4 linked regions of the Rhinolophus ferrumequinum genome follow. The protein of the gene in region 4 binds, or shares a complex with, the protein of the main gene of each other region. Links are inferred from orthologs where the notes say so. Each region holds a gene or a part of one and is shown on either strand. Other genes may lie near its edges. The genes, in order: KAT5, MEAF6, MORF4L2 and EPC1.

Evidence for each region.
Region 1: EPC1 (region 4) and KAT5 share a complex: the UniProt entries of both Homo sapiens proteins name them as parts of the nuA4 histone acetyltransferase complex. The link is inferred for Rhinolophus ferrumequinum from reciprocal best matches to the Homo sapiens genes EPC1 and KAT5.
Region 2: EPC1 (region 4) and MEAF6 share a complex: the UniProt entries of both Homo sapiens proteins name them as parts of the nuA4 histone acetyltransferase complex. The link is inferred for Rhinolophus ferrumequinum from reciprocal best matches to the Homo sapiens genes EPC1 and MEAF6.
Region 3: EPC1 (region 4) and MORF4L2 share a complex: the UniProt entries of both Homo sapiens proteins name them as parts of the nuA4 histone acetyltransferase complex. The link is inferred for Rhinolophus ferrumequinum from reciprocal best matches to the Homo sapiens genes EPC1 and MORF4L2.

The regions. Positions count from the first base shown.
Region 1 is NC_046294.1:6,048,606-6,056,102, forward strand, and holds the start of KAT5 (histone acetyltransferase KAT5), read right to left. Parts: upstream 3,085-7,497; 5' UTR 3,070-3,084; coding exon 2,892-3,069; intron 2,571-2,891; coding exon 2,502-2,570; intron 2,411-2,501; coding exon 2,274-2,410; intron 2,008-2,273; coding exon of another isoform or gene 1,981-2,007; coding exon 1,825-1,980; intron 1,736-1,824; coding exon 1,661-1,735; intron 1,564-1,660; coding exon 1,489-1,563; intron 1,174-1,488; coding exon 925-1,173; intron 850-924; coding exon 760-849; intron 1-759. UniProt on the Homo sapiens protein: Catalytic subunit of the NuA4 histone acetyltransferase complex, a multiprotein complex involved in transcriptional activation of select genes principally by acetylation of nucleosomal histones H2A and H4.
Region 2 is NC_046292.1:26,211,035-26,218,290, reverse strand, and holds the start of MEAF6 (chromatin modification-related protein MEAF6), read left to right. Parts: upstream 1-4,144; 5' UTR 4,145-4,207; coding exon 4,208-4,297; intron 4,298-5,472; coding exon 5,473-5,588; intron 5,589-7,256.
Region 3 is NC_046284.1:51,249,068-51,257,013, reverse strand, and holds the start of MORF4L2 (mortality factor 4-like protein 2), read right to left. Parts: upstream 3,111-7,946; 5' UTR 3,092-3,110; intron 1,996-3,091; exon of another isoform or gene 1,813-1,995; intron 427-1,812; 5' UTR 355-426; intron 1-354. UniProt on the Homo sapiens protein: Component of the NuA4 histone acetyltransferase complex which is involved in transcriptional activation of select genes principally by acetylation of nucleosomal histone H4 and H2A.
Region 4 is NC_046288.1:3,683,385-3,691,111, forward strand, and holds the start of EPC1 (enhancer of polycomb homolog 1), read right to left. Parts: upstream 3,192-7,727; 5' UTR 2,905-3,191; coding exon 2,752-2,904; intron 1-2,751. UniProt on the Homo sapiens protein: Component of the NuA4 histone acetyltransferase (HAT) complex, a multiprotein complex involved in transcriptional activation of select genes principally by acetylation of nucleosomal histones H4 and H2A.

The sequences.
Region 1 (7,497 bases), on a different chromosome or scaffold from region 4:
TGGGCACTGTCACTTGGACGCCCAAGTCCCCACTTATAATATAGAACCAGCAGTTAAAGCAGCAACTTCCTCTCAAGCTCCCCCAGCACCCAAGCCAGAGCTCTCCCCCGCCAGTCAAGATGCCTGCCTCTCCCCCAGCACCCTCTGGACCCCAGGAATGAGGAAAGTCTCTCTTAAGGGTCCCTCCAGATTACTCCTTCCTCTCCACAGCCATAGACTAAGGCAGGTTTGAAGCGCCAAGCCTATGGTGTTCCCAGCTCCTCTCCAACTGCCATTCCCACCCACCACTTGAGCTCTGTCCCTTCTAACAGCCTTGCCTCTTTCTCTCTGCCCTTCAGCCAGAAGGGTCTTTGCCTGTCACACCACCTGTACATCCACGCCTGCCCTTCAGGACCCCACTGCTTGGGACTCCCTTGCCCACCTTATTCTTTATGTCAAGGCTCATAAGTCACCTTCTCTGTGAAGCTTTGATGACTAGCTCCTCTGGGTCCTAACAAGCCACCCTTTGTTTCATGACATTTATCACACTGTTGGCACGTCTATTTTCCCTATGGACTGTGAGCTCTCAGCAGAGATTTTATCCAATTCCTGGTTGTCTATACCTCCCAGCACCTGCCCTACAGCAAGAACTCAATAAAAATGGGTGAACTGATCTGCTGGCCAGACTGTTCAGTGTTTTCCTGAATAGGAACAAGGTGCTCATTTGACTTTCCCCGAACCCCAGCTCCAAGATTTCCCTATTGTCCTTCAGCCACTGACCTTGTTCTTGCGTCCATCGATCTCAAAGAAGGAGATGGTGCCCTTGCGGTAAATCTCATTGCCTGGAGGATGTCGCAGGTCACACTTGGTCTGAGGAAGAGAGAAAGGTCAGGGGTGGGGCAGGGTGGGGGTGCTAGGAGGGTGGCCTCCTGGGACCCCTCATACCAAGTGGCGCTGCAGACACTTGAGGCTACGGCCATACTTGAGACAGAACTCGCAGAGATAGAGGACGGGCAACGTGGTGAGCTCCTGTGGGTACGGGGAGAAGTACCACGGCTTGAGGCGGTGCCGGCCCAGCTCGATGCACTCAATGTTCTTCATCCGGGTGACGATGTCGTCGTGGCTCCGGTCGGACACCAGGCTCCCAGTCATGCGCGGGGCTGATGGAATTCCATCTGAGCTGTCCTGGGAGTCCTGCTCAGGGCCAGTGGAAGACACCGTGTTACGGGAAACACTACAGCTCCCCCACACGTTTCCTTGTTCAAGCCTAACCTTCGAGGGAAGTACTATAGTTCCCACTTTCCAGATAAAGAATGCAAGACATGGAAAGTTTTCATTCAAAACTTGGGAAAGATCACCCAATGACCGATCTGAACCAGCTCTGCCTGGCTCCCAATCCCAGCAACACCATGGCTGCCCAACACTCCTTATTTTTAAACTAGCCACTAAACTTGCCACCCCGCCCACCTCTCCTCCTTTTCATCCAGCTTCCCTCTTCCCCAGACCTACCTCATCAGTGCCCAAGCAATTTGATTTTCGCTTCCGTCCTGGCTGCGCTGCAACTGCCCTACGGGCTGATCCATTCTGTAGGTGAGATGGTAGGAACAGAAAGGGTGGCTGTGAGGTGAGTCTGAAAGGGGCTACCGGGAGGTAGAAGAAAGAGATGGTTTGGAGGACTCACCTGGGGAAAAACTGAGGCTGGGGCTGTCTCGCTGGGCACTGGAGTTGCTGGTGAAACCACCTCCACCTTCCGTTTCTGCAGAGAGAAACCAAGAAAGGTGGGTCAGAAGGTAGAGAAGGTGGGACCTGAGAGGAAAGCAAGGTCCCTGGAATTGCTGAGGGTACCGTTGAGCGGTGGTTGGGCTGCAGGCAGGAGCTGGAGGAGAGCGGCTGGTCGGGCTCGCCACCGGGAATGGCCTCCCGCTCCTTGGGCAGGTTGAAGCGGAGTGTGATCTGGACCGGGATTGGCAAGGTCTTCCCGCTGGCCTGGGTGGAGGCCGGCTGTAGAGATAGGTCCAGGGTCTTCCTCTGGGGTGGGGATGGTGGTAGGATGGGGAAGGGGAATAGGGGCTCCTCAGCATGGAGTGATCAAACCCCACCCGCTGCCCTCTCAAGGACACAGGAATAGCCGCTGGACTCTAGAAGCTACATCTGCAACTTGGCCCCCATTCTTTACAAGCTGAAGCCAGGGTGGGAGGGTGTGGCCTGCTCCAGCCCATCCAGGAGCCACTGAGGCCAAAAGATGAGAGAAGTAGGAGGCAGAAGAGAAGAGGTGAAGTAGGGGACCTACTCACCACCTCTCTCTCTGGAGAGCCGGGGCGGGACCCAGGAAGTCCGTTCTTGGTGGGGGTCTTGGCCTCTTTCTTGGGGAATTGGATCTTCTTCAGGTCCAGCCTTTCGTGGGTCACCCATTCATCCAGGCGTTTGTTGACTGCAGCAGTGGGGATGTCTCAGGAAGCAATGCCAGAGACTGCCTCCCAACCCTACCCTGCAGCCCCTCCTCACCCTGGCCCAGCACTCACAGTCAATGTAATGTACGTAGAAAAGCTTCCGGCCACTAATGTCCTTCACGCTCAGGATCTCGGCCAGGGCTGTGGGAACAGCATAGGCAGGGGCGTTAGACCCGCCAGGCCATGAGGCTCCACCTTCCTAAGACCTGAACTCCACCCCCAGGCCTGATCTCTAAGCCCCAGCACTTGGAAGCTATCACCCAAGCCCCCTTTAGTCACCCAGTGCCAACCCCTCTCCACGCTCCGCCCTGTCCATCTCGGAGTGGCTAAAAGCCACGCCCCTCCTGAGTATCTGCGCCCCGCCTGCCCCAGAATTCTCGAAGCCCCTCCCCCTCCCAAGGGTTCGGTTGACTCCCGCCCCTCGCCCTCAGGTTCTTAGCCCCGCCCCCCGACGTCACTCACGCCACTCATCTTCGTTGTCCTGGTTCCGCCGCAGCACCGGCAGGCGGCAACCTTCGATTATCTCCCCCTGGGGAGACAGCGCGGCGCCAGGGTCGGCTACTGGGGGGCCTCGGGCTCTACCCACCTCCCCTGGCTCCCTCCGCCCCGCCCCGGGCACCGGACTCACCACCTCCGCCATCTTCCCTCCCTCCACTGACACTTCCGGCCCCTCTGGGAGACGTCACTTCCGGGACTGAGTGTGCAGTAGGCCCGGACCACCGGACACCGCCTTAGAAGAGACCCTTGAAATACACCGCCGCCCAGCTGGAAGCGGGGAACCGACCTGTTTGGGGGACGGGAAAATAGGGTGTTTTAAGTCTCGGGTTGGGTCCTGGGAGGAATCTCCATAACGGGCACAACGATTGGAGGAAAGCTGAGTCTGTCACGTGACGCCCACCGGGTGCGACGCCGGTCACGTGGACGCAGCGCGGGTCACGTGGGCGTAGTGTTTGTGCTTTGGGGGTGGCGGGATTCCAGCGTCTCTAAGTGGCGGTGGGAGAGGTCACTCGCTGTGAACTGCGAGTGCTCGCGGGGGCGGGGGGGGGCGGGTCTGGAGAAGTGGGCGGGACTATGAAGGGAGTTCAATGCCTGGCCAAGTTTGTGGATTTCATTCGTTAAGGATGGGGACTCACGGAAGGTTTCTAGATTGTTTTCTGTATTAGGTTTCTCACTATAAAAGTAATACAACATTATTCATTCATACATTGAACAAATGTTTAATAATGTAACGTGTGCCAGGCACTGTTCTAGGATCTTGGAATACATCAGTGAATAAAATAGAACCCTGCTCTCATAGAGCTTACATTGTTGGGGGTTGGGTTTATATAACAAAAGTAAATATATTAAAAAGTAAATTACTTAGTTTATTCAAAAGTGATTGGAGAAACCAAAAAGAATGAACAAGGTAAAGGAGATGGGCAGGTTGGTTGCAATTTTAAATAGGGTGCTGAGGGCAGGACTGATGGAAGTGTATATACTTAAGGAAAGATTTAGAGAGGGAACAACGGAAGAGCCTTGCAAATAGTTGGGGGTGCAGGGGACGTGGGGCGGAGTACTGTTTCAGAAAACTAGACCACAGTAGGGGGAGAAAATAACCTCAGATCATCATGGGGGACATTTCCACCATGAACATTTTGGTAGAATGTCCTGTAAACTAGGGGTGGGCAAACTAAGGCCTGCAGGCCAAATCCAATCCTTTGCTAGTTTTCCTACAGCCAGTGAGCTAAGAATGGTTTTGTATTTTTTAATGGTTAAGAAAACAAAAGAATATTTCACAACAAATAAAAATTACGAAATTCAAAGTTCAGTGTCCACATATAGTTGTATTGGAGCATAGCCATACTTTTGATTCATTTACTTTTTGTCTATGACTGCTTTCACACTAAAATTGAATAATTGTGTCTGAAATACAAAGCCTAAAATACTATCTGGCCCTTTACAGAGAATGTTGGCCACCCCCTGCTCTATAAACTATTGTGCTATCTTTTGAATACAAAAATAGGTTCTTCCTGTATATACTGTTTTGTGACCAGCTTTTTCACTTAGCAACATAAATTGAACACTAGTCATTAAATATTCTACAGCACAGTTTTAATGGCTACATAGTGTTTCGTTATTTAGATGCACCTTAGCTGCCATAACTAGTTGCCTGTTAGCTATTGTTTTTTTCTTTGTTTGTTTGTTTTGTTTTTCTTTAAGATTTTATTGGGGAAGGGGAACAGGACTTTATTGGGGAACAGCGTGTACTTCCAGGGCTTTTTCCAAGTCAAGTTGTTGTCCTTTCAATCTTAGTTGTGGAGGGCACAGTTCAGCTCCACGTCCAGTTGCCGTTGTTAGTTGCAGGGGGCGCAGCCCACCATCCCTTGCGGGAGTCGAACCAGCAACCTTATGGTTGAGAGCCCACTGGCCCATGTGGGAATCAAACCGGCAGCCTTCGGTGTTAGGAGCACAGAGCTCCAACCACCTGAGCCACCGGGCCGGCTACATCTATATATGTATGTATGTACGTATGTATGTATGTTTTAAGAGGAATGTTGGGGAACACTGTGTTTTTCCAGAACCCATCAGCTTCAAGTTAAGTCGTTTTCAATCCAGTTGTGGAGGGCACAGCTCACTGGTCCATGTGGGAATTGAACCGGCGATGTTGGTGTTATGAGCACTGTGCTCTAACCAACTCAGCCAACTGGCTGCCCCTCTTCAATCCATTTTGAGTTAGTTTTTGTATATGGTGTTAGGTAAGGGTCCAACTTCATTCCTTTGCTTGTGGCTAGCCAGGTTTCCTAGCACCATTTGTTGAAAAGACTGTCTTCATTGAACAGTCTTGGCACTCTTGCCAAAAATCATTCAACCATGTATGTGAGGGTTTATTTTTGGGCTCTCTATTCTGTTTCATTGGTCTATATGTCTATCTTTATGCCAGTACCACATTGTTTTGATTACTGTAGCTTTGTAGTAAGTTTTGAAATCAGGAAGTGTGACTCCTCCAACTTTGTTCTTCTTTTTCAAGATTGTTTTGGTTATTCAGGGTCCCTCAAGGTTCCATATGTACTTAAGGATGGATTTTTCTATTTCTGTAAAAAGAGAATTGAGATTTTTTTGACATGAGAGAATATGTAAGATGATTGAGGTTAAGTTAAAACCCTGTAGTCCTAAACTTGAAAAGGAGATATGAGTATGAATTCCTGGTGCATTTCATATAAAAATATACATACTCATATATATTGCCTAACTGTTCACTGAAAAGGTCCATAATGATTGACCCACTAGCAATAAGTATCCCTAGAACTCAGACTGTGGTCTCTAAATACCATTTCCCAGTAAAAGGAATCAGAATTCCTCAGAAAGCTGTCTGATTCCAGATCTTGGACACTATTGGAATTGTGTCAAAAGGACCGAAGAACCAACTTCAGAAGGTTCCCAGTGGCCAAAGATGGAACAATTTGAACTTCAATAAGAATAATTAAAACAGATTAAAGCATATCAAGTGTTTAAATCCATGCATTAAGACTTTTTTAAAATGCATGCATTAAATTTTGGAGGATGCTAGAGAACCAAGGCATTATTTTGAAAATTGATAATGGGAAATTCTATACCCTAATAAATCACTTTTAGGTATATACTGAAGAAAACTCCTGGATACATGTACAACAGGAGACAGTCACAGGAATGTTCTTAACCACACTGCTTGTAATAGTGAAAACTGGAAGTCCAAATGGCCATCCGCAGGATGAATAAATAAATAACCTGCGGTGTATTTACACAACAGAATAGTATGTAGCAGTAAAAAGTGAATGAACTATGAAACATAAACCTTAGTAATATGTTGAGTGAGAAAAGCAAGTAACAAAAAACAAGATACTCTCTTCATAGAAGTTCAAAAGTAAGCGAAACCAAGCAACATATTTGTGTAGCCATGTATATGAGTAAATTTTTTTTCTTTAAAAAAAAACGTCAAGGGAATAACAAACAGAGAATTCTAGATGGTGGTGCCCTGGACACCGGGATGAGGGGATGGACAGATGTGGAGCACCGAGATAGATGTAAGTTCTGGTGGTGTCCTATTCAGCCCCTTGAGTTTTACAGTCAGCACAACAATTCAATTTATTGATTTGTTACAAATATATATGAATTTTTTAAAAGAGGATCATGCAAGGATCAATGATGATTGTGTGTCATTAACCAAAGATTATAAGTAACCCATTCTGTGGACTTGAAAAGTCAGCCTCCTCAAAAAAGTAAACTGACTTTCCTAATCCTGGCCAGCCACAGGAGAAACTGAAATGAGTGGGAGGGGTGGTAACTATTTTCACTTTTCTTTTCCTGTTTTTTCAGAGCCTGGTAAAGCAAGTCAGAATTTCCAATCTTTTCCAATTCCCATAAGATTCCTTAATTTAGAACGAATTCAGAGAAAATAAAGTCTTTTTCCATCTGGAGAAGGCTCCACCGCCTGCGATGGAGCATCCTCATTCTGGGATGAGGAACCGGTCGGGGGTGGAGGGTGCTCCAGCCCCAGCCTCCACCCTCATCCCGCACGAACGCCGCCTAGGGCTTGAACTTGGGGACAATATCCCCCTGAGGAATCACATGACAGTTAATCAGTGGAAATGGTTTAGCCGACGGCTGGTCCCTTGCAGGAGGTCCTAGGGAGACGACGGGCGGCGTGGGGTGCGGCGGCGAGACACGGCGAGTTCTAAGCGGCCCCTGGGGGTTCCGGACCTTCTCAGATAACAGGCGTCAGGTGGCAGAGACGAGGCTCCAGTTGATATACCCCTGGGCGCCTTATGCTTAACCCATTGCCACCGAGGGCCGGCAGTGTGATGCACCTTAAACTGGTGTTTGAGTTGGAAGCGAGAAGCTCTCGGCCCGGTCCGCCCGCGATAGCGGACGCAGTACGGAGCTTCTGTCGCCCCTTGCGTGCAGCAGGACACGCTTAGCCCAGTGACCAAAGCACCGCCATGTGAAGAGGTCCGGGCCCTTCCCTTTTCCCTCCGCTGCATCTAAATTAGTGTGGATGGGAAATTTAAAAAGTACTTCTGCGGCGACAATCACCAAAAGACACCTTTTAGCG
Region 2 (7,256 bases), on a different chromosome or scaffold from region 4:
AATTGGAAGCTTCATTTGGTCTCCTAGGTGAAGTTTCCAGTATATTTATCAAATGGGAAACAATTTTAAGACAGTTAATTTGTTCACATGTACTCTAAAGTTTTACAGTGAATTAATTCACTAAATCAATAGTTGCATAAGCTTACCATGCTCGCATTTGATTTACAGCTGTGAGTTAGAAGCAGGGAGCAATAATTTAGAGGTGGGCTGCACCATGTGCAAGAGATGGCATTTAAGGTATGCCTTAGAAATGAAGTGGATTTTGCATCAGTAGAGGAGGGCATTGTTTCAGACTGAGCAGTCCAGGGGACAGCAGAGCTGGAGTGGAGGATGTGGAAAGGATCCTGTAACATTAAGTTGTTTACCTGAAGACCCACAGCAAATTAGTGGTAGAGCTAGGATGAGAACCCACCTCAGTCCTGGTTCAGTGGTCTTTCCTCTGGACTGTGGCTTCCCATCTCCCTAGCAGAGCTTAGTGAAGAGATCTGAGGAGGGAAAAGACAGCTGGTGCATTAGGCTGTCCATTCATAGGGGGTTCAAGGAAATCACAATGGCTGGGATTTCCAGGGATAATGAGGGGCTCAGGCAAATCCTCACCTCACCAAGTCATAGCCAGAGCTGCTTGGAAATCATTATGTTGATTCATAAAAGTAAACAAATGTTCAATAATCAGGTAGCTGAGAATTGCCATGAACTGAGACCTCAATGATAAAACTGGCTAAAACTTAGGCGTACTTTCTATGTATAAGGCATAGTTTTAAGCATTTTACATGTACATTGATGCATACCTTGATACCTTCACACTTCTTCCTCATAATCCTACGAGGCAGGCTTCTTTTATCATTTCATTTTGCCGATGCAAAAACTGAGGCACAGAGTTGTTCAAGTCACACAGTGGTAGGTAGGACCGGGATTCAAACCCAGTCACCCTGGTTCCAGATGCCACATGCTTAACCACTGTGATATACTGCTTCTTAGAGCCATGAGAGTTAACAAGATCTGGCCGTCAAAGAGCGATATAACCAGTGCTAGAGCTACAAACAGTGCTAGCGAGGAGAAGCAGTGGGGATTATGGAAGAGAATAAGTATAAGCACAGAGAATAAGCACAGAGAAATAGTATTCAACCAAGCCTTAGTCAGTTACTCAGAAGAGGCCAGTGGGGATGAGGAAAGAAAGGAATATGAATTTCTAGGCAGAGAGACTAGCACTCAGAAAGATCTGAAGTAACAAACTAATGAAACTTTGGAAGCACTTGAAGTTCAACAGGGAAAAAAGGGTGAGTGAGACTTCTTTCTGGTTTCTGAACCCTCCTGCTTGAAAGTAGCTAAAATTTCTGGATAAAATATAAGCAAAACAATTTCTTAAAGCATTCAAGAACCTACAAATTAATAAAACAGTTGTTAGGCAAAAAGTGAAGATAAATAAGAATCCAGAGAGAAATGGACTGTAGATGTCTGGAAGCCACATTTGGTCTAAAGGCAAACCACATTTGATTCTAGGAAATCAGATCTTACCCTAGCTTGAATGGGACAGAAATCAAAACCCAAAGCCCACAGGCAATAGTCTAATAGAACATGATTCCCACAAAAAGCTGGTCTATCAGAGGTCTATAACTTTTAGAATAAAAGAGTGGATCAGAAATTGAATCTTCCCAGGTATTTATAGCCTGGAAGCTCAGGAAACCTCGGGCCTTGAACTTGGTTTAGGATGACCCGGTGCCTCCAGGTGTCTGAAACAAATGAAATTCATCTTTGGAGGAAGGGACTTTTTTATCTCCCCTCTAGTTATTTCCACATTTCCCCCCAAAGATACAATTATTTTTATTAATGAACAAGAAAAGGCACTATAGGTGAGAAACAACAGAAATAACGGGTTGGCCCGGTGGCTCATGCTTCTAACTCCGAGGTCGCCGGTTCGATTCCCACATGGGCCAGTGAGCTGCGCCCTCTACAGCTAAGATTGTGAACAACGGCTCTCCCTGGAGCTGGGCTGCCATGAGTGGCCAGCAGCCAGCGTGAGCCGCTAGATGAAATGGACCAATTCTTCAAAAACCATAAACTACCAACATTTACCTGATAGGAAATAGATTATCTGAATAGTCGTACAGATATTAAAGAAATTGAACTTGTAATTAAAAAGCTTCTGAAAAGAAATATCCACACCCAAATGGTGGAAGAATTCTACCAAACATTACAAGAAGAATTAGCACCATAGTGTACCTTCTTTTCTAGAAATTAGAAAAACAGAAAATACCTCCCAACTTATTTTATAAGGCCGTTATTATTTTGATACCAAAGTCAGACAGGAAAGTACAGACCCTACACACCAATACCCCATGAACTTAGCCACAAAAATCCTCAGTAGAATATTAGCAAATTGAATCTAGCAATATATAAAAAGAATTACACAACATGGTCAAGTGGGGTTTATTCCAAATATGCAAGGCTGGTTCAACACTTGGAAACGAATCTGTGTAATCCACTACACCAAGAGGATAGAGAAGAAAAATCACAATCTGACAAAATTCAGATTCAGGAAAAGAATCTGACAAAATTCAATACCATTCATAATTAAAAACTGTCAGTAAACCAGGAATAGAGGCGAACTTCTCAACTCGATAAAGAGCATCTACAAAAACCTTACAGCTAACATCACACTTAATGGTGAAAGACACTACTTTCCTAAGACAGAGAAAAGGTTAAGGATGTCCACTCTGACCACTCTTATTCAACAGAGAACTGGAAGTCCCAGCCAGCACAGTAAGGAAAGGAAAGGAAATAAAAAGCACACGGGGTGGAAAAGAAAAAATACAACTGCCAATTTGAAGAGGAAATGATTATCTGTGTAAAACATCCCAAGGAATCTACAAAAACACCTCCTGAAACTAATAAGGGAGTTCAGCAAGATCCCAGGTTACAAGATCAACACACAAAAGAAATCCAGACTGTAGCAGAGAGAGACAAAAAAGATAGTGGGTAAACAAAATGAAGGATTATTATGTTTAATCTAGAAGGAGACAGAAAATGAGGCAGAGGCATTATCTGAAGGAAAAAAGCTGAGAATTTCCCAGAACTGGTGAAAGATACCAAACTATAGATTGTAGAAACCCAAAGACTTCCAAGTAAGGGGAAAAGGAAGAAACGAGGAAGGAAGGAAGGAAAAAGAAAGGAAGGAAGGAAAGAAGGAAGGAAGGAGAAAGGAAAAAAAGAGAAAAAAGAAGAAAAAAAATCCTATCGAGATTAACGATAGTGAAATTTACATAACTGAAAATTGGAGAGCGCTGAGGCTGGAGAAGCAGGGCCCAGGTGAAAACAGTGAAGGAGACTGCACTTAATGAATAAAGCTAACACTCACATAGTCCTTATTACTTGCTAAGCCCCTTTACAGACATAAAGTGATTTACTCCTCACAGCAATTGTATTAAGTAGGTACTATTATTACCTCCATTTTAGAGATAAGGAAGTTGAGACAGTGAAATTTGGTTACTTGCCCAAGGTGGCTCAGTTTATCAGTGGCAGCTAAGGTCGGATTTTGAACAAGGTAGTTCTGGCTTCGGTTTTCGTTCTTAACCACCACACATACAGTACTTGTCTCTCTAAAGGGCAATGAGAAGCCATTGAAATGTTGAAACCAGGGGAGCGACACATTCGTTTTCCAAAAACAAGTTATCCTGGCACCACTGTGGATGAGAGATTAAATGCAGTTTAAGTGTGGAAACAGGAATCTGTTGGAATAATGTAGCCAAAAATAGGGAAGGCCGGGATGCCCGAGGGAGATGGCAAACACAAGTAAATAGATTTGCGGGCTCTTCCAGGGTCCAGGGAACTTCGTTTTGTATGGGATGAAGGGGGTGAAGGAATGAGGCTGATGCCCAGGTTTTTGACTTGGGCAACTCGGCGGGCCGTTTAAGTCATTCGCTGATGTGACTTAGGAGGAGTCTGGTTTTGGCACGGTGAATTTGCAGCGCCTGGAAAAGTCAGCCGTCCCTGAGGGGCAGAAATGCCTGTAGTGCCAAGACTAGCAGATTGCCCCACCACCGCGGGCCTCCAGGTGAGCGCGCGCGGGACCGAGGCCCAGAGCGCCGCCAGGCCGCGTCTCCGGAAGCCGCGAGCGCAGGCGCAGTGCGGCGCGGGCGCCCCCTGGCGGGCGGCGGCGGGCAGGGACCGCCCCCACCACCCGGCGCCGCCGCTGCCGCCTCAGCCCAACATGGCGATGCACAACAAGGCGGCACCGCCGCAGATCCCGGACACCCGGCGGGAGCTGGCGGAGCTCGTGAAGAGGAAGCAGGAGCTGGCGGTGAGGGGCTAGCACCGGGGACGCACGGCGGAGGATCCGCGCCTGCCCCCACCTCCAGGCCCCAGCCCCGGCGCGCCAGGCCGTTAGGGCGCTGCGCGGCGGCCGACAGTCCGGCGGCCCGAGGCTGGGCTGCGCATTCCGCGGCTCGCCGGCGCCTCGGCTTCCTGGCTATGCGGGAGCCCGGGCCCCGAGGGCGGGGCGAGAAGCCAGGAAGAGGAAGGAAGACGGGGAAGGGGGACTAGGCGGGCGGGGGGCGTGGAGGAAGGATGGCGCGTGGGGCTGGGGTGCTTAGGTGTGGGAGCCGCAGAAAGGCAGTGTCCGTGAGCTTTGGGGGTGGGTGAGGGCGGGCGGGTTCGCAATCTTTGAGTGGGGGGGGCGGGCGTGTCGGTGGGCTGTAGGGGATTGGTTCGGGCTTGCCTGTGGGCTTTGGCGGGGTGGGGTAGGAGGCGTCTGTGGAAGGGGGACCCAGTCATCCAGTCTGGTCTTTGGAGGATGGAGGGGCGCATGTCCTTTTGGGAACTAGGAGTAGATCCATTGGATGGAATTTTTGATGGGCAGGGATGTGATGTGTTTGGGAATATCTAGAAGGTGACAGCCGAGGGGAGCGGATTCAATCTAGGGAATAGGAATGTGACCCAAGGTCTCATGCACCCTGGTGGCTAAGCCCTCCCTACCCCCCTGAGTCTTGGCTTGGGCACCTGGGAGGCTCATCTCACCTGAAGCTGCCCTTCCAAGTTTCCATAGCAACTGGCTGACCATTGCAGGCAGCCTTTTTGAGCCTGCGGGGAGGGGAGCGACTTGGCGCTGGAAGGCTACTCGCCCTTCCCTCCCCACTGGCATTACCTTTTATGAGTGGAGCCTGCCTGAGCTGGGGTTTTTGACAGCTGTGTTTCCATGAACCCTCTGAAGTATACACAAAATTTTGCATGTATGTACATTTTTCAGGGGACAGGCTCTCTATATTTCATTCTATTCTCAAAAGGATCCAACAAGACAGGTCTAGACTGTCTTAGTCTGAAACAGCTTGTCCCTTCACATACCATCTGTCTCTCCACAAGGGTAGTTGAGTGTAGTTGTGCTTGAGTTTCTAAGTCTAATATTAAGGTTTCAGTTTGGTCAGACTTAATGTTTGCATTTAAAAGGCATTATCCGTTTCCCTGTTTTTCATCTCTCAGGAAACACTGGCAAACTTGGAGAGACAAATCTATGCTTTTGAAGGAAGCTACCTGGAAGACACTCAGATGTATGGCAATATTATTCGTGGCTGGGATAGGTATCTGACCAATCAAAAGTGAGTGTCAGAAAGAGTACAGTGTTTGTACTGTGACCTACTAATACTTGTTTTTAATGCTGTATATATTGGTGGCAACTTTGCAGGGAGGCAGAACTAAGTAGCAGTGTGGAAAGAGGTTTGCGCTTGAACTTTGCACTCTGGCTCAGCCTCGCTGAGTCATCCTAGACAAAGCCTACATCCATAGACTGGTCGATAGTACAGGGGTGTGAGAAGCTGAAATGAAATACAGCCTATCCTACCTTACACAACAGCATTCTCTTAGTGTCTTCCACATTTTAAGCAGTCATGAGTTCCACCGTCACAATATTTGCCAGACCTGTGTGCCAACCCTACCACTATTTATTTAGTGCTATTAGTCTTGAAAACTTTCTAAACTTTTTGAAATTTTTAAAATCTATAGAAAAATGGAAAGAATAGTACATGAACACTTGAAACCCTTCGCCGACATTCACCGATTAACTTGCTGCATTTACTTTCTTGCTCTTTTCTCTTTTTCCTCACTATTATATAAACACACATACCTGTATTTACATTTTAAAAACATTTTGTTTAAATTTTGAAATCATTATAGATACGTAGGAAATTACAAAAATACTACAGAGAGGTCCCATGAACCCTTCACCCAGTTTTCCCCAGTGGTTTTTGTGTAACTATAGTACAATATCAAAACCAGGAAATGAACGAGTACAATGTGTGTGTGTAGTTCTGTCATTTTATCATTGTGTATAGATTCCTATAACCACCACTGCAATCAAGATGCAAAACTGTTCCATCACCACAAAGATCTGTTATGCTACCCTACCCCTGTGTGATTGTATCTCCCTTTTGCCCTATACTTTGGGTTTTTTTTTTCCCTAAACCATTTAAAAGTTAGAAACAGATATCATGACACATTGTCCCTAATTATGTCAGCAATTATCTCCTAAGAATAAGAACATTTTTCTTAGTTAACCACAGTTATCATGTCTAGAAAATTAGCACTACATTAAAAGTATCTTCTAACACACAGTGTTTATTCACATTTCCCTAATTGTCCCCAACATGCTTTGCTACCTTGTTTTGATCCAGTCAAAGTTTTTCATTGCATTGATGTTTCTTTGGTTTCTTAATAAGAGCGTCTTCCACCCTTTTTGTTGGTGAAGTTGTGGTTTACAACATTGTCTTGTAGATTGTCCCAATTCTAGATTTTTCTTACTGTGACCTCATGAGCGATCCTTTAAACATTTTTGGCAGAAATGTTGCATTAGTGATTTGTGTACCTCTTGTTTACCTTTATTTTATTAGGCAGCACATAATGTCAGATTGCCCCATTATTGGTGCTGCTAAGTTTGATGATATGATTTCTCCATTATGAAAGCTTATTTTTTCTCTTTGTAATTGACAAGTAATTTTGGAGCTTATACTTTTAGACAGTGGGAATATATTGCTCCCCACAAATTTTATTCACTGGTTTTATTATACATTGTTGATTCCTACCTGAATCAGTTATTATACTGGAGGTTGCAAAATGGTGGTTCTAATTTTACTGTTCCTTTTACATTTATTACTGGTATTCTGAAAGAAGAGCCTTCCCCTTTTATCTTCTCTCCCTTTCATTCTATCTCTGTCTCTCTTTAGTATCACTATAGACTCGTGGATTTATTTTTAAATCGGTGTTGGGATCTA
Region 3 (7,946 bases), on a different chromosome or scaffold from region 4:
AAGTGGCAGAGCCAAGATTTAATTTAAATTCAGTAAGTCAGCATTTGCTCTTAATCACTAAATTATGCTGCATATGGGATGCCACAAAGTAAGAAAAACAATATATGGATGTATGGAACTATCAGGGATCAATTGTAGTATCTTTTATCAAGGAATGTAAAATTACACAGTCCTCTGTTTTTTAGGCACTTTATATACTGGAAGCACCAATGGACTCAGCTCCACCCTACTCAGAATTTAGAGTGATTTCCCAGATAGACGCTTATTAATCTTTAAAATATTCCTGGACAGTTAAGAAGGTTATGTGGAATGATCTTGCTTGAGAACTGAGGCCAGGAGAAGGGAGACACTTACCTAAGATTCTGTAATCAGGATCAGATCTTCTGATCCTTATTATACAGCAAACTTAGCTTTTCTGATAATGGCCTAGAAGGTTAAACAAGGGGACGGGAAAGGGCACAAAATAAAGAGATATGAGATGATGGTTTTCTTCTCTGTCAATCAATGCATTTTATCACACACAAAGGGCACCAAAGCTGATAAATAATGTACAAGTGTTTCTTTTTCAGTTCTTGTGGTTACATTTTCAAATTTATTGTATCTATCCTGATTTTTGATAAAGTAATTTGTTTTCGCTTTTGGTTTTTACTTTTCATTAGGGAAAATGTGAAATGCATAATATCTGAAATTATGTAGAAGGAATATTATAAACCCACAAGAATCTATCATCTAGCTTCAACAATTACCAACTGAAAGCCATCTTGTTTCATCCATAACCCCACCCACTGCTCCCCCCAACTCCGTTTTTAAGCTCACCAAATAACTGAGTTTCTGTATTTTATGGGAAATTTCCAACACATACCAAGGAAGACAGAACAATATAAGGAACTCTATATGCCTATCACCCAGCTTAAACGATTAACTTAAGAGCCAATTTTGTTTCATCTATACCCCCCCAACTTCCCCCTATTGCTGAGATTATTTTGAAGCAAATCCTAGTCATCAACGTATTTTGAAGCAAATCGCAGACATTTTATTATTTAATCCGCATTTTCGTATATATCTCTGTAAGATAGAGACAGTTTGAAAACATAACCACAATACCATTATGACGTCTTAAAAAATCAACACCCATTCCTTAAAAACACATCAAATATCGAATACGTATTCAAATTTTCCCGATGCATCTTAAACATTTTTTTTTTTTTACAGTTGGTGTGTTTGAATCAGGATCCAAACAAGGCCTACTCATCGCATGTGGTTCATCTCCAGCTCGCCCTCGTTCTCCATCTTTCTCCCCCTCCCCCCTTTTTTTAAACTTTTCAATATGGAAAATTCCCATCCCCGCTATTTTGAGGTAATTCCCAAATAGCATATTATTTCACCAATAAAGATAGTTATGTTTCTCTTATATCTCTAGTTTCTTCTAGGGAATAAGTTGATGGGCAGGAAAAGCACTATAATGAGCAAATTTACATAATTTGTTTTTTTCTCATTCTGTTACGCAGGTTTTTCTGTCCACAATAACAGTTAACATCTTTCGGAGCCAGGCTTCCCATTAAGTGCTTTATACGCACTAATATACATAGTACACGCCTCTGAGGTACACGTCTCTGAGGTAGATACTATTATTATCACCATTTTACAAACATGGAAACCGAGACACAGAAAGGAGCCAGCCCGAGCTGGGCGTTGGCGAGTAGGAATCTGAATCCAGCTCTGCCCGATCGTGAAGCCATGAGTTAATCTTGCCTAGATACTCGACGAGAAGAGGAAATCGTCAACCCTTTCTCCCCACCCCCACCCCGAAACCTGAAACGAGAATCCAGCTCTTTCCAGCAGCCGACGTGTGCTCACTGCCGTCCCTCGAACCGCCATAGTAAAGCCAGGTTTCTCTGGCAACTGATATCCATAGGCAGACACGTCACCCTGGAGGCGGGCTCATGACCTTCAGCCAATCACAGTCGTCTTGTCTAAGTTTTAGAATGTTCCATGACCAAATGATTGGACGAGGCCAATCACGTCACAATGACACTTCGCCGCAGTATAAGGGGGTGCTAGCAACCTGCTTCTTCATGGTTAAGACTTGACGCAAACCAATCATCTTCTCCCTGTAGTGCGGCTCTGGCCAATAACGTTCACCCTCTTAGGTTCTGAGCCCACCCTCCAAAATCGCAACTGTAGTTGGGTCATAAGTCTATAGGGCAGGGTGTTCACGTGGCCTATTTTCACGACCCAGAGTTCCCCTGACCAGAGGTTCTTTTTTTCTTTTTTTTTTTTTTTTTTTGCAGGGAGGCATTATGGGTTTTCATTCCCCCCACTGGGAAAGGAAGTGTCTACGTGGCCTGCGGAAACAGGATGGGCGGAAATGAGCTAAGGTTCCCGCGAGTGGGGAAGCGCGAGGTCAAATCTGGGGCCACGCCCCTGAACCACTTGCGCAACTCTTGGAGAAAAAGAGGCACAACGGGGGTGGTGGGCGTGCGGGCGCGTGGTGGTGGGGCTAGTGTGGATGTGCGCGGACGAGCTCGCGTGGTCTTGGGATTGGGGTGCGTGCGCTCCAGCCCTCGTGGCGCTGGACGCGGTGGGTATGCGCAAGCGTGCGCGCCTAGAGTCGGGGCCGGTGTGTCCCAGAGCGAGGATGTGCCTGCGTGCGTGTGCGTGCGCGGCGCGTGTGCGTGCTCTATACTGAACATTTTCTTATGTTTGAAAATTGTTCTAATGAAAAGGAAAACAAGCCACGGCGCCCATCATAAATAACGGGCCTTTGTTAGAAATATTTCGGTCTCCCCTATCGATTCAATTTTAGACCCTAAAAAATGTACTTCTCACTTTTTCCGGCCACAATCCTTTTCTAAACCGTAGCCCTCCGATGGTTAAGAGCCAAACAAACCCACGCATTCCCATATTAGCAATTCCAAGGAGCAGCTTTTCCTGTTTGCTAGTATCGTTCTTCCACTTCTTCCCCGAACCCCCCCCCCCCAATTCCGTGTAATTTTTCTGGCACAAACAAAATTTTCTGCTGAAAATATCTATACGATAGGCTTCCCCTCCACTACGAGCTCCGAATTTCTGTGGCGGCGGAAGCTCTCACCTTTTTGTCCTGATCTCCAAGCACAGTGCCCTTTAAGCAAGTACGCACTCAGTTAATTTTCCAGAAAGTTCTCTGGGTGAGGGTTATACCTCTTGAGTCTGCCACGAGGTGCCGCCAAATCCCAGCAAAGAATTGCCTATTTGGTCCCTGGAATGATGGGATTTTTATTCTCCCCCTTTCTGATTTCTGAACTCTTCAATCTATAGGGATCATGTATATCTTTCATTGCTAGGGAAAATCAAATTAGCTTTTATAAATAGCTCTAGACAGGGGACTATGGCCCTAGATCTAAAGGTTTTTTCATTTCTTTCCTCCTTAAAAAAAGCCCCCCTTCCATCCCTCTCTTCTTCCTTCTTTGCCTTTTCTTTTGGGGGAGGGGGGACGGTAAGAATTGATGAATGTCACCAGACACTAACGCTGATGAAGATCCTAACCTTTCTGTGCACTTTTTCAAATGCTCAATATCCCGTCCCCCCCCCCCAAAAAAAAAAAGAAACCCCAGAAAATAACAGGTGGCTGGTTAGTCAGTAAAGACAGATAAGAGCTTGGACCCTGGCATTGAAAACTGACCTTCTCTTCCTCTTGAAATTTTTATTAGATATGTGTGTTTGCGCCCTATTTTCTGTAGTGGTACTGCTAAACTTTATTACGTCTTTGGAGTCAGAGACCTAATTTTAAACCCCATTGCACCACTTACTAGCTCTGAGAAGCCCGGGCAAACGATTTATGTTCTGTGTTCCTTAGGTTTTTGCATGCTTTCCATATTTTAGATGCTGTGTCATATCCTTTACATATATGTTATTTTATTCTTCACAAAATCCTTATTAGATGGGTAATAAATCAAAATCGAACAACAAAAGTTATACCTCTTTCAGTTATCAATCATGCGCGCGCGCGCGCTCGCACACGCGCACACACACTGGGAGGGAGGCGGGATTTAGAGCAGTGGTTCTCAGTGTGTTTCCCAAACACGTCAGTACCATCATTATCACTTTTCGAGAAGTTGTCAGATTCAGATTCTCGGGCCCCATCTCAAACCTAGTGGATTAGAAATTCTAGGGGTAGGGTTTGGCTGTCGCTGTTATAACAATCTGTTTGGGTGATTGCAATGCACACTGAATTTAGAACCACCGCTTTGGAGGGCAGAGATGCAGTGCTTATTTTTCTTTGCTCCACTAGAGGGTGCTACAGAATTTAAAGCAAAATAATAAATGATATATGTTTTATTGAGATACCCTGCATATTATCAGTCCCGTTATACAGATTAAAAACTAATGTGTAGAGGTGTCAAATTATTTTCTCAGTGCATACAACTATGGGAACCAGGATAAGAATTTCACCTGTTTCTCGAGCCCAAGCCCTTGACAGTACTCTTTTGTTCAGCCATCATAGCTTATCTTTCTGGGCCTTAAAATACATTACAGATACCTTGTTCTCTGCTTTAGCTATGTTGACTGGAGCATCAAGAAGGGGGCAGGAAAGCAAACTAAATAAATGGAAATATTTTAATGATTTCATACTTTCCCTCATCTCCATTCTATACTATCACATTAAAGCTCATGTGTTTCCCTTCTTGCTTTTATATTTCCCAAATGCTCTCTACCCTGCAGTTATCTTTTTTAGTTTATTTCTGAACCTCTCCTATGTGTGTGTGGGGAATCAGGGTGGTGAGGAAACACAGTTGTTGCAAGCCTATTATGGGCCACACTATATGGCTCTGTGCCCATTAATCCCAACAATAGGCCTGTAAATTAGGTAAGGATTTTCATCATTTTATAGATCATGAAGGTGAGCCCCAGAGCCTATAATTATTTTTCTTTGGTCATATAACTTGTAAGAAATAGAGCCCGGGTAATTCCTGGTATATCTGACAGTACTACCCTGCTAAACTTTCTACTGCTTGGTTTTCAATGTGATTTAGTGTCGTGCGCAGAGTCCAGCGGGGTCTCTGGTCCCGCTCCCCACACAAGAACGCAGGATATGGCTAGGCCAAAAAGGAACACCCACGGAGCCATAGGTAGGGGAGTCACACCACTATACTCTCACTGGCGGCTGGGTTGGAGACACAGGAACCAGGAGCAACACAATTCTCAACCCTCACTGTGCCGCTTGCAGGCTCAGCCACCATCTTCTTGCTAGCCCCCATTTTCTCTTTTTGCTACTAGCCTAGCCACGGCAGTTATATTCATGGCTAATGGCTCACTGGTTACAGCTGATGGCCAACTAGCCACAGCTGCTGGCCATTTGATCACAGTCAATGGCCATTTACTACCTGAGCCAGCACCTTTCTATGTGAGGCCGAGAGCCTGGAAACTGCTTTTTGGGGCTCTGTCCCCACATTTAGTTACTTAATATTTATGTGACTTCCAACAAGTTCTTTAACTTTCCTGAGCCTTAGTTTCACTGTATATTAAGTGGGAATAATTATTCCTCATAATCTTAGAGCTGCAGTATCCAACATGGTAGCCACTAGACATATGGGTACTTAAATTTGAATTAAAATTAAAAATTCAGTTCCTCAGTTGCACTAACTACATTTCAAGGGCTCAGTAGCTACTTATGGCTAGTGTTAGTACTGGCGGGTCCCTGGGCAGGCCTCCCCAAGATAGCTCACAATGGCATATTGATTATTTCAAATTGAAATCACTTGAGAAGCAGCAGGAGCAGGAGGAGCTCTCTGACTCTCCAAAAGCAGGAAATAAATCTCCATGTAATAGGTGCTCTCCCTTCTCCTGAGGGCTAACAGACAACCTTATCACAAGAGTTATAAAATCCAGAATCAAAAAAGCCTATATAAACAAACTTTGTGAATCCTTTACTAATTTACTACTTAAGCCCAAACTGCTTAGATTCCTTTCTAATGAGCACTAACTTTCTTTGTCTTGTTCATTGCTCACAGAATTATTGTTTCTTTGTCTAAAAAAATAAAAAGGTGCCTAGTTTGATAATTTTTTAATTAAACTTATTGGGGTGACATTGGTTAATAAAATTATATAGGTTTCAAGTGTACAATGCTATAATACATTATCTATATATTGCATTGTGTGTTCACCATTCAAAGTCAGGTCTCCTTCTGTCACCATATATTTGACTTCCTTTTGAGCCTTGTTTTGTGACCTGAGCATCATATTGTGATTCTCTCGTGTGCACGTATTAAATTGTTTTTTTTCCCTGTAAATCTAGTCTTGTGTCAATTTTATTATTTTACTGTTGGTCCAGCTGTAAGAACTAAAGAAGGGTAAAAGTGGGGGATTCTCCTCCTCCCCAATGGTACCATATTAGATACCAAGAGATAAAGAACATTCCCACCATGACAGAAAGTTCTATGGAACAGTGCTGATTTAGACTATATAAGGTATGTAAAAGGGCCTAGCATAGTGCATATTCATGGCATGTGCCCAAGAAAAGTGATTCCCTGATCTTTCCTTTCAGCATCAGAGCTAGGCAGGTTCTCCGGTTTTATTGATAGGGTCAGGAGAGGGGAGTAACTTACCCAAGGTACTATAACGGGGATGCGTCTGCCATTAGGACCCAAATCTCCTGACTCTCGCTTCCATATTCTGTCTAGTAGACTCATCCTTGTGCTCTACTGACTGAGGTCTCAAGGCCAAGGGTGTGAATAATGTGAATTAACTTCCGAGTCAGGGTAGTAGCAGGAAAAGACACAGCTGAATGTCTTCTAGGTATGTGCCAGGCAGCACTGCTCAGCTCTTTACATCGATTGTCTTAGTGAATCCTCACTGAAGCCCAGAGAAGTTAAATGCTCACTCCAAGTTGCCAGCTAATAAATGTCAGAACAAAGATTCTGACTTCTCTCTGACTCCCAAGCCCATGTTTTTGTCCCATTGTGCCATGTTACCGTCTCAAATGTGAATACTCTCCTGTCCCTTCCACTTACTAGTGGGATGAAGCTTCAGCAGATTCCTGACTCTTAGTGGGTCCTCAAAATGGGAGTTAACTCTTCTTTGGAATTTACAGCTGAACCACTGTCTTCACAATCTGCTTCAACTGGAAGGGAAAGATAGCGTAAGTCAATGTTTGTTTGGCTTCAAGGCCTGAACAAGACTATTTACAGCCCCAGCCTTTACAGAACATTCAGTGGCTCCAAGATCTCTATGTCACTTTTCGAGGCCACATTTGCTCATTCAATCCCTTTGTGCTGATCAGAAGCATGTGACACCTGGGGGGCAGATATTGTGCAAACAAATGATCAGTGGAACAATGAGAAAAATACTTTTCCTTCTCAGGGATGTTGGAGCTTCACCAGGGCAGCTGAAGAATGAATTTCAACCTCCACTTGTTCCATTTCAGTTGGGTAATCTTGTGCAGGGTGCAACCTTCCCTGGCCATCAGTATCTGCTGGCTTTGCGTATCTTACCTCGCGGCTAAGAGAGCCTTCCTAGGTCTGGAAAGTAGTGCTCAGTCTGTTCTGGAGGGTGGTCAGGGACATCAGTGTCCTCGCCTGTCTTCCGGGTGGAAGATAAAATTGCTCCCTTCTAAGGTCAATTGGATATTTTTTCACTTGGTTCTGACTACTTTATGGGATGATTTTTAAAAGAATGTTTGGTTAATTTAAGTTAAAAAACCCTAATATTTCAAGGCTAAGCAGAATGGTGTTTCTTTAATAGTAGTGTTTTTCTATCTATTTATACCTGCCTCATTCCATAGGGATTTCCTAAAACCAGTTCAGCAAATTAGTCTGCTTCAGTCTAGTTTGCTAGCCCAGGACAGACAGGGCAAACAATGGAAATCGTCTTGGGAACGTTTTATATCCTTTTAGTGGTATCCATTCTCTCTCAGCTACTCTCTCCTCCTGTAATCAACCCCCTCCCCGCTGCTCCAACTGACCCATCCA
Region 4 (7,727 bases):
AGGGAACTTCTAAAATTGTTTCTTAAAAATTAAGCATGCCTAATTAAGTCAGTGTTCAGCTTATAAAAATTGGTTACATGGGAGTATATTAAGTGTTCCTTTTCCAGAATTTCTCTCAAGTTTACCATAGAAACAAACTATGGTAAAAATTACCAGGTATAGTTCACCTCACAGTTTTGCAGATACATTTTGATCATTTCATGAAATACTTTCTTAATGAAGTGGTGTATACAAAACTGTTCTTATCCAAAAACTGTCCCATCTTTCATGATCAACATAGGATTATGCTTTTTCTAAACGAGACACTCAATTAAGGTTATAGGTCACTCAACCTAAGAGACACCCCAACTAATGTGTCAAAGGCAAAAGTTTGTTTAAACTTTTTGTCTTTATAAGTAAATCATGCTTCAACAAATTATTAAAAAAAAATTTGTTTCTCTAAGGTTTAGTCAGAATTCAATTACGTTTATTTATGCTTAGTACACATTTTCTTAATTGTGTAACATGCTACTTTCAATATTGTGATTTATATAGCCACTACCACCAGCATGAGCCACAGGAATATAGAACAGCTGTTTACCTGGTACTGTTTATATTCTTCTATTAAGTTCAGTATCTATTCCTGAGGTCTATGCTTCACTGATCATAGTTTTGGTTGGATGTGAAGTGAAACAGAGGATAGAAAAAGGTAGTGAAGGGAAAAAAAAAAATCTCTTATGGCCCGCAAACAGACTCCACGTGTGTTACAAACTAATGAGATCCACTGCGCTATAAAATGTCAAAGTATTTCAGTGAAGAAAAAATTATCTGTAATATTTAACAAGCGTATTGCTACCTGAGTTGATCTCAGCTTTGATTTCAGGTTGTAGCTCTTGGTCCTCTCCAAGACTTAACTAAAGCAAGACTTAAATAAATTTCTAAAGTGTACTGTAGTGCTATCTTGCTTTTACCAGGGTTCTCCCCTTCCTTGGCTGCAAAACAAGAACTACAAATTAATTTCCAGGGCAGTGTAACACCAATACCCCAAATTTCAAGTATTATCTGTAAAACTTAAAAATAGAAACAAAAATAAAACCAAAAGACAACATTCTGCAGTCACAAGTACTTTAATTTTTAAAAACAAATCACTCATTTAAAAATGAACAAATGGCACCATTCTACTCTGTTGATACAAGTAAATTTAGAGTTCTGTCTCATAATGTGCTGCAAGTCGGTACTACATCCGACAATCTCAACTACTACATACACTTAACACTTAGCTTATCTGTAGTTAGATTTCAGACACTACTCTCAAAAGTAACATTCGACTGTCACAACTATTTTACTTTAAAAGGTTGAACAACCCAAACAGTTTAAACAGCTTTATTTTCAAAATCAACATTACAGAGCATAATTTCCACATTTAAAATTCTTACAGTTACCAATAGAGGTATTACAGTACAATTTTCCACAACAAAATTGTAGCACACAAATCCAGCGACTCCTCGACTTCCTTGAACTGTCAATACACTGCACCCTGTTTAAATGGCTGTACCTGAAAACCAAGGAATGCAATTCCTTAGGATTAGAAGTCATCAAGTTATACTGTCAAGGATCTGGGGGAAATGAGAGGAAGATTCTATTATCCTTGTGTCTAAACCCAACTTCTATAACAAGGTAAAGCCACAGCTATGATCAAATGTCTATTAGCTGTAAATATTTAAATACTGAAACCCACCTAAATTAGGTATCTCGATGTTAAGATTTCTGTGAATGAATTCACTTCAGTTCGATTCTGGATGAGAAAAGTCCCTCTTTCAAAATTTAGATCTGTAACATCTACTTAAATTGGGTGTTTTCTCTCCCCACGTTGAGAAACCAGAAAGCATGCGAACTTAAATTTTATTTTTAAAAAAACCCAATAATAATGAAGTTACATGTTTTAGAAGAGCCACGCACTCCAAAAAAAACAGAAGAAAAACCTGCAACATACTCTCAAGGATCAAAGGAAAACTCAGGGACGTTTATATATCCTCCGACTAACTAGACTTGGGAAGGGATGGATGCAAAAGTCCCAGAACGAGGATACAGAAAATGAGTCTTACATGTTATGAAAGTCAGTCGTCTGGGCAAACAAGCAGTACCCTCGACATTTCGTTGCAGGGAAGGAGATACAAGCCTCAAAGACCTACAGTCAACATTACATGCCCCTGTGAAGCTCCACGTGGGGGCCGCACTGAGCCTCACAAGCTTTCCCCGCCACCGGGAACTGAAGTACCCCTACAGGACACAGAATCTGCGCTCCCCGGCGCCGGCAGCGCGCGAAGGCCGAGGTGGCCCTAGAGCGCCACCCAGCGGCCCGCGGAGCGGCCTGCAGGCGGGTCCTCCCCGGCTCCCGGATCGCCGCACCCCCACCGCCACCCAGCCCGTTCCTCTCCGGATGCACAAGGCCCAACCCAACAACTGAGACCACAAAATGGCTGCCGGCAGCTTCGTCACGTGACCCCTTTGTGCCTTTTGGGTTCCCGAACTCCGTGGGACCCGGGTACAAGTGGCCGGGGTCGGCGGGTGGCCTCAGTGGAGACCCCGCCGGGCCGTGGCGGCTGGGGGTCGAGGCCGGGGGAGGCGGGGTAAAGGCCCGGCCGGCGACTGAGAGTCGGCGGCGGAGAGAAGATGGCGGCCATTTTGTGTGGGTTTGCTGCTCCGCCGCCGCCGCAGGCAGCAGAGGGAGCGGGGCCTGGCGGTGGGTCGGACAGGGGAGTTAACACGTACCGACTCCTCTTCCTTCTCCATTCCGGTGGGCATCTGCGGCACGGCCCGGTTTATCGAGGCGTATTCGTGCAGGTCGGGCAGATCCTCACAGCGGAAAACCGGCAGCGGCTTCGAGGCGTCTAGCGCCCGCGCCCGAAACGACAGTTTACTCATCTCAGGCGCAGCAGATACCTCTCCGCTCTGGGGAAACGGCCCCGGCCAGCGGGATCATGGAGAACCGGGGGTTCGGTCCCCACTCGCCTACCGCTGCCGGGGACTTGAGGGGCGGAGCGCAGAGCCCGCCGTCCGGGCACTAACAGCAGCCGGGAGGGTGGGAGGCTGTGCCGCTCCGCTCCTCTCTCGCTCGCTCTCTTCAATACGCCATGGCCAACATGGCGGACATTAAAACTCCACTGTGCGCTCTTCAGCCAACCCCAGCCATTCCCCACACTGCATCGCGCAGCGGCGCGGGCACGCGGGCGCGGAGGGGGGGGGGGGAGCGCGGGCTCGAGCGGGCGCCGGCACGGAGCGCGCGTCCCGCCAACCCCCGGCGCCCGCCGGCCGCGCTGTCCGCGCCTGGCTGCTCGAGGCCCCCGCCCTCTGCGGGTCTGGAGGCGGCCGGGGCGGAGTGGGCGCTCGGACGCCGGGAGCCGACTCCCCGCGCCTCCTCTCGCTGCCCGCACTCGCTCACTTTCTCACGCTCGCTCGCTCGCTCCCAGCGCCGTTTGCTGACAGGCGAAGGTGCAGGGAAACTATGTGCACCGCACGCCGGCTTTCCGAATGGCCACGGCGGGAGAATTGGCTGGGCGGCGCTATTGCCCGGGACAGGCGAGCTCCGGCACCTGTCACCCCCGCTCGCAGCCGGGATCGGGGCAGGGGCGATGCCGGAGGCCACGGCCGTGGGCGGTGGGGTTAGGAGCGGCGCTCCGGGGGCGCTGCGCACCGATGGCAGTCTGTGGGTGATACATAGTTATCGCTGCGTTTTAGGTCCTTAAAACAAAATGCAAACGAAATTAGGGGCAAAATGCTACTTCAGGTGAACTTTCGCCAGCAATTATTTTTACGTCTAAGGAAAATGGATTATAATATTTGAGAGGCTCCGCAACAAATCACTGGTCAGTTCCCACCTATCGGGCTCAATATAAACGGTTGTTACCCTACTCTGATATAAAGTAGGGGTTTTTTTTTAATCCTGCATTTTATCTACTCATATTCACTCTTTTATTACAATTGAAGCAAAGGGGATATTTATTATCAGATAAATGTTTAAGAAAAAAATTAAAGTAAGACCTTCAAAATTTTAGAGCCATTTGTAGCTCATGATTTTTGTTGGTACTGAAAGAAAATGCTAGTTCAACATAGTTAATGAATTGACACCATTTATTCTCTGAAAAACTTTATAAAATTGAATCATACAAAGATCTGTAGTGCTCCTGCCAAACCGAAAAAGAGTAAAGGAAAAGCTGTATTAGAGAGCTTTAGATGCATGTGCTAGATTGTTAATATTTGGTTTATATTACACACGAAAACGGTTATGCCCAGAGAGCTCTTTCCAGCAGAGTATTTTAAAAATCAGAAAGACTGTTTTAATGGGATGGGTTTAATCAGTTTGGCAGCAAAATTTCATATGTTCACTGAGATACAAAAATGTTTCTTTAAGTCTGCTCTTCTCCCTGGAGGCTACATAGTAAAAATAATCATTACTCAAATACTGGGTTGGATAGGAACTGTTACTAGCTTACAGCCCATAGGCACACTGCTGTCTTTCAGGCTGATTTAGCTACACCTTGGTGGGGAAGACACAAGGTGAGCAGAGACTGGAGTTCTCCAAAATTATCCTAAAACTCTAATATTGACAATTCACCTCTGTGAGGCAGAGGGATTTCCATTTATACTTCCTATACTAAGACTGTGCACTTAATCTTTCAATGAAAAACATTTATTGGGCCCTCATGGCCTAAGTATGCTGCTGGTTACTTAGCACCCATAAGGCTCCTGGAGGAGCTAGCACAGTGGGAGAAGGACCTGTGGATGGCAACTGCCACAACTGATGTGAGGCAATCGTGGGAACAGGCAGGAGTGGCACCCAATCCATGGGGAGTGGCTCTAATGAAAGCATTCAGGGAAGGCTTTTTGGAGGAGATGATATCTGAGAAAAAAATACATCGGATAAGTACGGGTTAACCTTGCAGAAAAATGAAGAGATGAAAGGTATTTTAGGCAAGGGAAGGAGCATGTGCAAAGACTCCAAGTCATGAGAGACAATGTCACAGTCTGGGATCCTCAAGAATTGTCAACTGCACTGTGGAATAAGACACCTATCAAGCCAGGTTTAACAGTTCTGAAAATTCTGGCTGAATGTTAGTACAGCAGTCCTCTTCAGCCGACTGTGTTAGATTTCTGAAAATCCTACTAGTTGAATTTGGTTGCTTGAGGAACCTAAGACTTTATAGAACAAAGTAGTCTTAAGTCATGAGTGAACCACCAAGGAAACGAACATAGAATATTTAACCTTCATTAAAATAACAGCCTACAGATAACATGTTCCACACCCTGCATTAGTAATAATGGGCACTATACAACTAAGTTTCTTGTTCCCTAGAAATTGTAGCATCACCCTCCACAGCAAGTTGAGATATATGCTTACAAATTAAGCTTGCCCTTTTTGCAGATAACATGCCTGCTAGGAGGCATCTTCTTTCTGCACTGGTTCCTCATCCAGCCTCAATGCTCTGGATTTCTGACTTCCAGGTCCTACTGGGTTCCCAAGGACCCAAAGGCTGGAGTCCCAAACCTCTTATATTCAGTTTACTTCCCTACCTTCTAAGGGGCAGGAGTGCAGCAATAAAGGTTCAGGTTTAATTTTCTTGAGCTTCCTTTATCTAACCAAAAGTTTCCTTGCACAAATGGCTAATCCTGCACAGTCTTTCACGTTAACTCCTTTTATTCCCCTAAAGTTCCCTCTTTTTCTAAGTATCTCCAACAATGGTGACATAAAATTCTCAATGGTACAAAAGATGCATACTAGCGTAAAACTGAATACACTAACCTTTCCTCAAAGGGAAAGTTTTTGTTGGGAAGGAATTTGCAGTATTTAAAATACTTTTGATTCATGCCATAAATATTTACTGAATACCTAGGCAACACACAGTACCATCATTGTAGGGGATATAAATAAAAATACTGATAAAGGTTAATCAAATGACCAGAACAAGGCAGCATGGTGAAATGCAGTCAGGGAGTTCAGAAGGAAAGCAGTCAGTTCTAGCTGGATTGATCAGACATGGAGAAGTGAGCAGGTGATGTGGTTGTGAAGAATGACTAAGATCCCAACTGGTAATGGGAATGAAATGGTAGGAGAAAGGGTAGTCATGGTCCAGAGCAACAGTGTGAACAAAATGGTGGGAGGAGGAAACTGGCAGGTGTGCTTGAAGATGAGAAAGTTTACTTGGCCAGAGTTCATAGGAAACTCCAATAACAATCCGGGTAAAACTGGTAAGAACTTGGGTGGAGGGAGTAGGAGTAGAAAGTAAAGAGACAGAAGTTTTAATGGTAAAAATGAAACTACTTATAGTATCATTACCCTGAAATGTGATTCATTTCAATTTGTATCAAATACAGAACTTCTGCTTAAACAACAAAATAGAATGTGTCAAATGCACTGCAGTTTGCTGCATATAATAAACCTGACGTATGGCTCTACATGTTAGTTTATGTCCAATATGTGCCCAAGTCCTTTTATTTCTTCTTAAAATTGTTTCTGGGATTTGACTCATTATTTCCATTCCCATTGTCTTAATCATATCTCAGTTCTCATCACGTCCTACCTACAAACAACCTCCAATCCATTTTTTAATTCATTACTTTGATAAACCTTTATTAAGCTCCTACTTTACAAGAAACTATGCTAGTACTCTCCTAATAGTGGCTAAAGGGAACCCACAGTGGCTAGTACAAGCTGTGGGTCCCTGGGACTATGAAGAACACAGTTCAAACTGCCTTCAGGGCTTCATAATGCATGCCACCAAATCCAAGTGCCCAAAACCCCACCTCCATCTGTATCCTCCCTTCCCCATGTCATTTATTTATAACTGCTCTTTATTTTGCTATTCCACAAAGCCTTTGCTTTTTTTTTTTTTTTTGGTATAGTTGTCAAAGCCTCATAATTTTGCCTCGCTGTATATCCAACAACATTTCTCATCACCACCTAAGACAAGCTCCTCATCTTTAGAAATCAGCATGTCTTTCCTGCCTCCAGGTTTTTATTCATTCCTTTCTCTCCATTCTTCCTGTCTGGCTGCAGACCATCTACTTCTACTGAAATGCTACCTTACATTTTTGAGGATTAAATAAAACAACCCATGTAAAGCATTTAGAATGGTCTCTGGCCCACAGAAAACATTCAGTAGATATCAACTATTGTTATTATCCCTCAAAATCCAACTCAACTATCACCTCCTTCATGCAACTTTCTTTGACTACTCAACCTCTCTGAGTCCTAATTTCCTAATCTGAAGAATGAGTGAGTGGGTAGGTGAATTCAAAATAATTCTTAAGCCTATACCAATGTTTTTCATCTGTGAATTCCTATTACACTTTTAATCAGTAAGAATAATAACTACCATTTTTGAACATTTACTATGTGCCAGGCAATGCAGAAGTACATTTTAAATGTACAATTTTTGTGACAGCCCTACGAGGTGTGTCCTGTTAGAGAGGTTGCGAGACCTGCCTATGGTCACAAAGCTAGTGGGAGGCAATGCTGAGGCTAGAATACCTGGTGTCTGGTTCCAGAGTGGAGCCCAGAAACCAGATTATAAAGTAAAGTGAGGAATGAACTGGAAGTGAGGAAAGAGAGATGTTGACTGTAGCCTACTCTTTCAAGAGGCTTGGCAATGGGGGGAGCAGGGGGCGGGAAGAGGGGAGAGGGAAAGGGAGACGGAGAGGGAGGTGTAGCTATTCAGGCCACTGGTTTTATTATTTCTGAAGGTGGGAGA